2 linked regions of the Cricetulus griseus genome follow. The protein of the gene in region 2 binds, or shares a complex with, the protein of the main gene of each other region. Links are inferred from orthologs where the notes say so. Each region holds a gene or a part of one and is shown on either strand. Other genes may lie near its edges. The genes, in order: Polr3gl and Polr3b.

Region 1 (4,535 bases), about 91 Mb from region 2:
CACACACGGCATATGGCACACTGTGCAGAGTGGTGTAGGGAGGCGGTTGGGATCTGCAGTGGCATCCACACAGATCAGAGAGAGGCAGGAGATGCAGCTCCTCTCTTCCCGTAGTTTAAATATCAGGGAGAGTATAGCCTGGAATCAGACAGCAGTACATTCCCGATGCGCCTGTCTCAAACATCACACACACCCCAGAGACACTTGGATCTCAGTTCCCTTGGGTCCCTTAGGAATGTAAGGAAGGTGGTTCCCAGGGCATTTTTAGGGCAAGGGGCATTCTCGGATTCCCTTTCCCTCCGTATTTCAAGGGCTGTCCGCAGGAGAGAGGAAAGGGGCAGAGCAGTGACGGAACCCTGTTACACGGTGCTCGCTCTCATCACACACCCCTTTACTCCATTTTCCCGTCTCACTTGAAGGGCCCTGCCTGAATCACTCCTTGTCTCTTCCTATCTGTTGCTCTCACTGCCTCTGCCTCTCCGTGCCACCTGCCCTGTCTCTATGGTTACCAAGGCTTCCATCTGCATATTTTAGGGATGAGTTTGTGTCCAGTTGGAAGGTACCAAGGGTTTGGAAAGCTTACCAAGGATCCTAGAGAACTCAAAACGATGGAGGCCACCATATACAGATGAAAAAAAAATGTTACTGGGAAAGGAAGAGAAATATTTATAGGGAAAACACCCACTTATACTAGATATTGATATGTCGAGTGCTTTGCTTAGCGTACATCACCTCAGTAAGATGGGAACTGTTGTCTTCTTGTAACAAATGGTAATGAGGTTAAGCAAGTTCCCCCCAAGTTTCATCACTATGTTTTCATACTATTCCAAGAACTGGGCACTGGGCAATCCATCCACATACAACTTCCCAGTCTAGAGACCATTTTCTCTGACGTCTGGCATATTCTTGTTGACTGCTCATAGCTTTCTCTCCATCCTGAGGTATTTCCCTCTTTCTACTGCACGAAAGCACGACTCCCCCCGCCCCCATCTTTACCCAGGGGCTTGAAGGACACTGGGTTCCTGCCTTCTCTCCCCAACGACTTGTCTGATCCCCCAAGCCCCCTCCCTGCTGGCATTTCTCAGACACAGCTCCAATCCACGGGGTGTTGGGGGCGCATTTTGGGGCTGAGCTTGGTAGCACACAGTAACAGCAGAGGCAAGGGTATGAGTTCAAGGCTACCCTAGACTGGGTAACCATATTGTCGTCTTTTTTTTTTTTTAAGTATGTATTGGTGGCGTTGGATAGAGACTGCATAAGATTAAAGAGAGGGTCGGAAAGTCACCAAAAGACCTTGCGAGTGGGGGTGGGAGGGTGGCGCGCACGTCGTAAGGCCAGAAGGGGGCGCCAGAGCCCCTGGAGCTGGAGTCTGGCGGGTGGGAGCCTCCAGGCGGGTGCTGGGAGCGACCTCGCCGTTGGGCAGCAGTCTAGTCTCTCCCACCCACCCAGGAGGACGTTTCCCAGCAGCGGCTCTCCTCTGCGGGCTCAGCCACGTGCCTGGATGAGCTCCGAGGAGCAGGTCGTCTTGCCATCCAGAGTCCGTTCCGCCCGGGCCGAGGCGGAGGCTCTGCAGCCCCAGGTCTCAGCTCGCCCGACTCGGCCAAGCCTCAGTTCCGGTTAGCTCGCTCCCTCCCCCTCCTCCCCTCCTCCCCCTCCTCCGCTCGCCAAGATTGGCCGGGAAACCCACCAATGGGGAGCTCGGGGAGGCGGGCCCAGAGCGCGGGCTGGAGGAAGAAAAGCGAATTTCAAGTTGGCCGCTGCGTGGGCCCCGGAGTGGGGGAGGGACGGCAGGTAAGGCTTGAACTCGGTGGCTCCGACCCGGTTTGGTCCGGTACTTCCCGAATTAGTCCTCCGCGGCCGACAGCACCATAGGACAACGCCTCCGTCAGCCTGTCGGATCGGCCCCCTCCCGGGTCCCCTCCCTCCCTCCCTGGGCTCCCTCCCATTGCTGTGTTTGTTGACTGTGCATCAGAGACAGACACAGGGCTTGCTGTCGTGCCTGGGGACACACAGCCTCAGTTACAGTGCCAGCCTCTCGCGCATCTATTAAGGTCAGCCCCCGTCAAGAGCCCGACAGACTCCCGTTATCTAGCTGTCCACTCAGCTGAAACGCTCTCCCCTTCCCACCGCTTTCCTGGACCGCCTTTCCTGAATTAATAATTGAGCCCCAGCCCGACCCTGCCTGTTCAGCACTATTGGAATCTCTCTTAATTTTAAAAATCACATTATTTGTGTATTCGTGTGGGGGGGGGGCGTGGGCGTGCGCGCCACGGCTTGCGCATAGAGGTCAGAGGACAACGTGAGCGAGTCCGTTTTCCTGGCCACTTGGCAGCAAGAGTATTTACCATTTCGTGGGTCCCGCACTCTCCCTCCATCCCTCGCATCGTTTTTATTGGCAGACTCCTATGTGCTAGGATTGCAGGTTCTCTTTTGAAGTTTCTATTCTTTGGACCGAAGCTTTGGGGGAGGGGGGAACAGACTGTGGTACTGAACACATTGTGCTCAATAAACGTTAATTGAATGGAATTGATTTGTGGGAAACAGCGCCCCTGTCAAGGGGACGAATTAAAATTCCTAATATAATAAGGGAAGAAAAGAAGACAACATAGTATATAATTAAGGGCCTTTAAATTGGTGGTTTATTGCATTAATGTTTTATAATTACTCTCAGATCAGAGAAGGAAAACAGCAAAGAGAACGGGAAGGGAGGCTTTATGTCTCACAAGGTCTCAAGTGTAGAAGGTCTATAGACTCATGTGGCCATTTGTTCAAGCAACAGCTGTTTACTGAGCACCTACTACATGCCAGACACAGTGCTGGACAATGAGGATCGCAGAAAACCCCCTACTAAAATCTATCCAGTAAAGTGTTATTTAATGACTATGTGGAAAAATATTTTTGAGACAGGTTCTTGCTATGCAGTGCAAGCAGAATTGGCCTCGAACTTCTGATCCTCTGTCTCAGCCTTCTTGAAAGGCTGGGATAACAGGCTTTCATCACTACACCCCAAATTAAAAAAAAAAAATAACTGTGAAGAGTGAATCCAGCCTTACAAACACTGAGCAATAACTCTGTCCCTGAGCTACACCTCTACCCCTGTGCCAGCATCTTTAATAAAAGAATTCAATAGTTCTTTTCAGGTTATTCCACCATTTAACTTTTTTTTTTTTTTGGTTTTGTTTTTCGAGACAGGGTTTCTCTGTGGCTTTGCAGGCTGTCCTGGAACTAGCTCTTATAGACCAGGCTGGTCTCAAACTCACAGAGATCCGCCTGCCTCTGCCTCCCAAGTGCTGGGATTAAAGGCATGTGCCACCAATGCCCGGCAACTTTTTCTTTAGATTTGTTCAATTTATTATTGGTGGGGCGAGGTGGCGTGTGTGCCATGGCACGTATGTGGAGGTCAGGGGAATGAAGTATATTCTACATTTCCATTGGAAGGGGTTACAACAGGAAGGTTGCACCAACATCACACTTTTGTGTATGTGTGTGTGGAGGGGTGTTTCACCTGCATGTCTGGGCAGTATGTGTATGCAGTGCCTGCAGAATCCAAAAAAAGGCATCAGATCCCCTAAAACTGGAGTACAGACAGTTGTGAGCTGTCATGTGGGTGCTGGGAATCAGTCAGGGTCCTATGGAAGAGCTACCATGCATGCTCTTAACCGGTGAGCTATCTCTTCACACACACCCTTTTTAAGACAGGGACTCATAGAGCTCAGGCTGGCCCCAGACTCACTATAGAGCCAAAGATGAACTCAAACTTCTGAATGACAGTATTGGCCCATAGCTTTGTGCTAAGCAAGTTTTATTTTTTGTGGGATTTTATTTGACTTTTTTTTTGGTTTTTTTTTTTAATATATACTAAAGATTGAATTTTAACCTCATGGATTGCTAGGTCGGGGTGTATCACCAGCCCTCTGCATTCTTCTTGTTTGTGGTGTGTTTTGTCTGCATGTATGTCTTTGCACCACTTGTGTGCCCTCAGAGAGCAGAAAAGGATGTTGGATTCTCTGGGACCAGGGTTACAAACAGTTGTGAGTCACTGTGTGGGTGCTGGGAATCTAATCCCAGGTCCTCTAGAAGAGCAGTCAGTGCTCTCAACCACTGAACCATCTCTCTAGCCGTCCTCTGCATTGTTAAAAATAGAACATGCTTTTGACTTGTTAACTGTAGGATATACATTTATTCTACAAAACTTGCAAATATAGTAATATAGGGATAGTGTGCATTATTCCATAATCCTAATGTAGTGTTTACTGATTACTATTTTCCAAGTTTAAACTTTATTATTGTCATATGTACACACACATGCCACAGCATGCATGTTGCAGAGGCCAGCCATGTAATGTTATATCTCCATTTCACTTTTTTGTGGTCTCGGGGATGGAACTCAGGTCCTTAGACTTGCACTGTCATGCAGCAAATGCCTCTACCTGCTGAGCCATCTTTCCTGCCCATTCCTAGGATCTGGAGATATATTCTTAGTTTACTCTGTATTTATGCATAAATTTGTGTTTTTATAAGTAAATAGGACACTC
Region 2 (4,500 bases):
GCTGGCACAGAGATTCACCTGCCTCTGCCTCCCTAGTGCTGGAAATAAAGGCATGTGTCACCACCACCTGGACTAAACATAGGATTAAAATCTAAAGTCTTCAACGTGTTTGTTTTACCAAATCTGGCCAGTGCTATTTCTCCAGCCTCTTTCCCACCATTGCTTATTCTACTTATTCTGAGATTTCTTTTCTCTTGTATATTTCTACTTTCTTCTATTTTTTTCCCCGCATTCCTATTTGTAGATTAAATTCTGTGTATCCATGATATGACTTCCTTGGAAAGGTAATAAATCTTTCCTACAGTATCTGCCACAGTCCATTGTGTTTCTAATACTGTCAGTTGTTTTTTCCAGTCTTAGTCTCTGTAGTGGGGTTCTGAGGTCTTGGCATTTTTTCCTAAATGAATAACCATAATATTACTGACTTTGCCAAAGAAGTGCCTAGAATCGATAGGCAGTGGTGGAGCAGGCCTTTAATCCCAGCACTCAGGAAGCAGAGACAGGCAGATCTCTGTGAGTTCAAGACCAGCCTGGTCTATAGAGCTAGTTCCAGGACAGGCTCCAAAGTTACACTGAGAATCTGTGTCTTGAAAAACTAAACAGAAGTGCCTAAAATGACACCAGAGACTCATAAATTAGCATTGCACTTATTTATACTAATTTTTTTTCAGTTTTGTGAAATAAACTACAATTTCATTGCTGAACTAATGAAGATTAATCTGAACAGTACTTATTAGAGCAATATTTAATAAGATGAATTAAATGAAAATGTCATTTCCTTTTAGCTATTCACTATTCAACTTTCTAACTGATACTCCCTCTACAACTTTCTAGACAGGAGCTCCATTTTATTTGAGTTAATCATTTCTAGTGTATTTTTCCTTCATATTTTTTTCTCTCTTTTTTTTTTTTCTCGAGACAGGGTTTCTCTGTAGCTTTGGAGCCTATCCTGGCACTCGCTCTGGAGACCAGGCTGGCCTCGAACTCACAGAGATCCGCCTGCCTCTGCCTCCCGAGTGCTGGGATTAAAGGTGTGTGCCACCAACGCCCGGCTTTTCCTTCATATTAAATCATGGTAGGAGAAGTTATTCAAGCTTTGAGGGCCAGTTATTACTGACTGATAACAAATATTTGTTGATCTTCTTGAGTACTTACTTGGTAGTGATGTCTTGGCAACTGAAAACAAGTGAACAGATGGGCATGCTTCCTGACTTCAGGAGTTTTTAACATAATAAAGGAGCATGTAAGCAAAGGCAATGACACTTAGCAGGCACTGTGATAAAGGTGTGCACAGGGCTCTTTCTAATTCAGTTTGATTTGGTCCCATTTGGATTGCTGGGTTGGTGGAGAGGCTTATCAGGGTATAGAAACTTTTCAGAAGTTGGCAGACTTGAGGACACTGAGGATACGTATGCCTCGCTATGGGTTAGACAAGGCCAGGAGGGTGGATACATGGAAGAGTCTTAAGGTAGTGGATAAGATATGACAGCAGTTTCAGGTGAGCTAGTGTAGTATGGTTCAATGCTGAGTCAGGGCTGGGGAACACAAACAGCAGAAAGCATTGTGAGGCCTGTGTGGAAGATGCAGAGAGTCTCAGCTGATGCTGCAGTTAAAGATGACTGTAAGGAACTTTAAGGAGGTTCCTTACATTAACACTGTAAAACAATACTGTGATCTACAAAATTCACACTTGAGGACCATTACAAAAAAATTTCAAAGAGAAAAAAAGTAAAATACCCTCATAAAGTTTTAAGTTTAAGTTTACAATTTTGTATTGGGCCACCGCTCTTAACTACTCTTAGCTACAGGAACTACAGGTTGGACATGCCTGTGAGCAGCTCCTGTTGATTAGGAGTAGTGAAACACTGTGAAATAAGCAGAACACAAACATAAATACTGTGTACTTTCCCTAACAGAATTTTGGAACTCAGTCTGAGCCACCTACCTCCACACTCCAAATGCTGGGATTATGGGCCCCCAAGCCCTGTTTATATGCAACTCCCTGTTTAAGTGTGATAGTGGGAACAAAACTTGGGTCCTTTGGAAGAGCAGCCAGTGGTATACTCAACCCTTACACTACCTCTCTGTGCCCTAAGAAGGTTTATCATTCAGTACAGTTACTGGTCATGTCACCTCCCTATTTAACCCTTCAAAGGTACCTCCTTTTACCTTCATCTTTTCTATCAACTCTCCCACTTCCCCACTATTACTGGATTTATTTCAGTTCCTCAGAGACACCTGATGGTATTGTTGAAGGTCAGGCATAACCTGTCCCTTTGCCTGAATTTCTCCCCTGATCATCTTCAATGCTAATTCTCCCATTCTATGCCAAAGATTTCGAGGCTCAGAGGGACTGTATGTACCTTCTCAGGATGGATTTAATCATGTCAGTAACTGAACTTCATCAGGCAATTCACTGTGTAGCAATTATTAACTTTTGAGAATCCGATATAGCGCCCCTCAGAAAATACAAGATCAAAAACTGGCGGAAATATTCAAGATCCTTAAAATACGTCTGCAGTCCAAAAAAAAAAAAAAAAAACTCTGAGCTAAAAGGAACACGATACGATGGCCGGCGTGGGATTCACATTAACTTTGGCACCAAAGCCGGGACCTCATGAACAGCGCCAAGATGACTCCGGTTCCCCAAGGAAGAATAAGAGGGCCAGTTCTTGACAGTGCAGACCGGCATTAGGAAGGCTTCACCCGAGAGCCATTCGCGGAGGTTCCTAGCCCGGGACACGCCAGACCCAGACCCGAAGACTCACACGCGCGCAGCTCTGGGCATGCGCAGAAGCCTCGGGCCCGCCCCCGCCGGCACCCGTGCTCTCCCGGCAACGCCTCCTGAGTCGCCTCCAGCCTCTTCCGCTGCCTGTCCTCGCGGCGCTTACCTCTACAGTCGGGATCGGCGCAGCCAGCTGCTCCGGGCTGAGGCTCCCGAACTCCTCCGCCAGCACGTCCATTCCCCTCGGGGTAAAGGAAGAAGTCAACAGAAAGTTCACATCCGCCCCGCTGCTCCAAGCAAACAGCACGCGGAGAATGGTGTGCGTTGTCCTAAAGTGTCCCGGCTGCGCTTGTTTACTGGAGGCACTTCAGAAAGGTTCCGCTTAGTCCGGGCCCAACCTGCGGTGTTACCCGGAAGTGACCGACCCGGATGTGGGAAACTGCGCCCCCTGGTGTAGTTCCAAGGTTTCGCCTGGCTAATCCTAGACCCCCGACAGACAGGGTTCTTGCCAATTCCTCAGAATGATTGAGCACGGCCAAATATAGTGTTCTAAATGTATAACTAATCAGAAGAATTACTGGATAGCAGACAGTGACCACAACACGAGCTCCTGAAGCAGAGAATTCGTTTAATTTATTCTAAAGCTATATGTGTTGCCTAGCACAAAAGAGCAACAACTGTTAACCGTGTCTAGTAAAAGTGGTTGGTTACATAATTAGTGGTGCCTGCGTGTAATGGAAAGCCATCAACCGCCGTCAAATGGCCATGACAGGTTGCACTGTAGTAAGTCCTAACACCGTAGTGTTACTTAAACTCGGAGGTGACGGTCTCAGATAAATTACCCGCACACAAGTTTAGCGTGGAAAGATTTACTCGTTTAAATGGGTAGGTGAATGATAAATAAGTAAATTAAATCAATAAATAGGAAGGACATTACTGCATCTAGGTATTGTGGAGGAGAAAGTTTACTGTTGATAAAAGGGTGAGCATAGCTAGAGACAGGGACATCTGGGATAGTCTAGAGTGGACATGACCCTGAGCCATGTGAGGAGGAGGGGCAGGAACAGCAGCAATGAGGGCAAAAAGTTAAAGCAGGGGGAAGAGAGCAGGTAACCAAAATGTTTGGATTATATAGGGAAGGGTGGCCAGCCCCTGGGCTGAAGAGTTGGGGGAAGGAGGGAGAGGGCGGGTTAAGCCAGCCATACCCTGTAACAGGAAGTCCCTGAGGGAGGCTGGAAGAACCTGGTGGCCAGGTTTACTTTGATAAATATGCCTACTTCTTCAGGGATTTACGACCTAACTGTAGAGAAAATCCAATAATTGATATTAGAATAGCTAATTAGCAGTTTTGGGGAAAGACAGATCTAAACCCTACATAGATTAGATATTTCAATGTATGTTAACAAAACATAGACGAAGGTGTAAGAGGTGGGGAGTCTGTAGAGTGCTTGGTAGGTGGAACCAAGGCATGGGTTTGGTCCACACTACAACGAATAAACCTGGGGCTCATAGACATCTCACAGGGTGGCACATACCTCTAATCCCAGCATTTAGAAGGTGAGGGTAGGAGGATCGATCAGAAGCTCAAGGGCATCATTAGCTAGCTACCAAGTTTGAGGCCAGCCTGGGCTACATGAAACCCTGTCTCCAAAGAAAATGGAATGTATTAAAAAACATTGATATGGTGAAGGATTTCAAGGATGAAAACAGAGAAAGCGTAAGATTTGCTAATAGAATTTTAAAGTTTTACCATTCTGTGAAAAAAACCTTAAATT

Evidence for each region.
Region 1: Polr3b (region 2) and Polr3gl share a complex: the UniProt entries of both Homo sapiens proteins name them as parts of the RNA polymerase III (Pol III) complex. The link is inferred for Cricetulus griseus from reciprocal best matches to the Homo sapiens genes POLR3B and POLR3GL.

Annotation. Positions count from the first base shown.
Region 1 is NW_023276806.1:59,906,203-59,910,737, forward strand, and holds the start of Polr3gl (DNA-directed RNA polymerase III subunit RPC7-like), read left to right. Parts: upstream 1-1,634; 5' UTR 1,635-1,689; coding exon 1,690-1,791; intron 1,792-1,910; exon of another isoform or gene 1,911-2,051; intron 2,052-4,535. UniProt on the Homo sapiens protein: DNA-dependent RNA polymerase catalyzes the transcription of DNA into RNA using the four ribonucleoside triphosphates as substrates. Specific peripheric component of RNA polymerase III which synthesizes small RNAs, such as 5S rRNA and tRNAs.
Region 2 is NW_023276806.1:150,815,587-150,820,086, forward strand, and holds the start of Polr3b (DNA-directed RNA polymerase III subunit RPC2), read right to left. Parts: upstream 3,072-4,500; 5' UTR 2,964-3,071; coding exon 2,892-2,963; intron 2,750-2,891; exon of another isoform or gene 2,364-2,749; intron 1-2,363. UniProt on the Homo sapiens protein: Catalytic core component of RNA polymerase III (Pol III), a DNA-dependent RNA polymerase which synthesizes small non-coding RNAs using the four ribonucleoside triphosphates as substrates.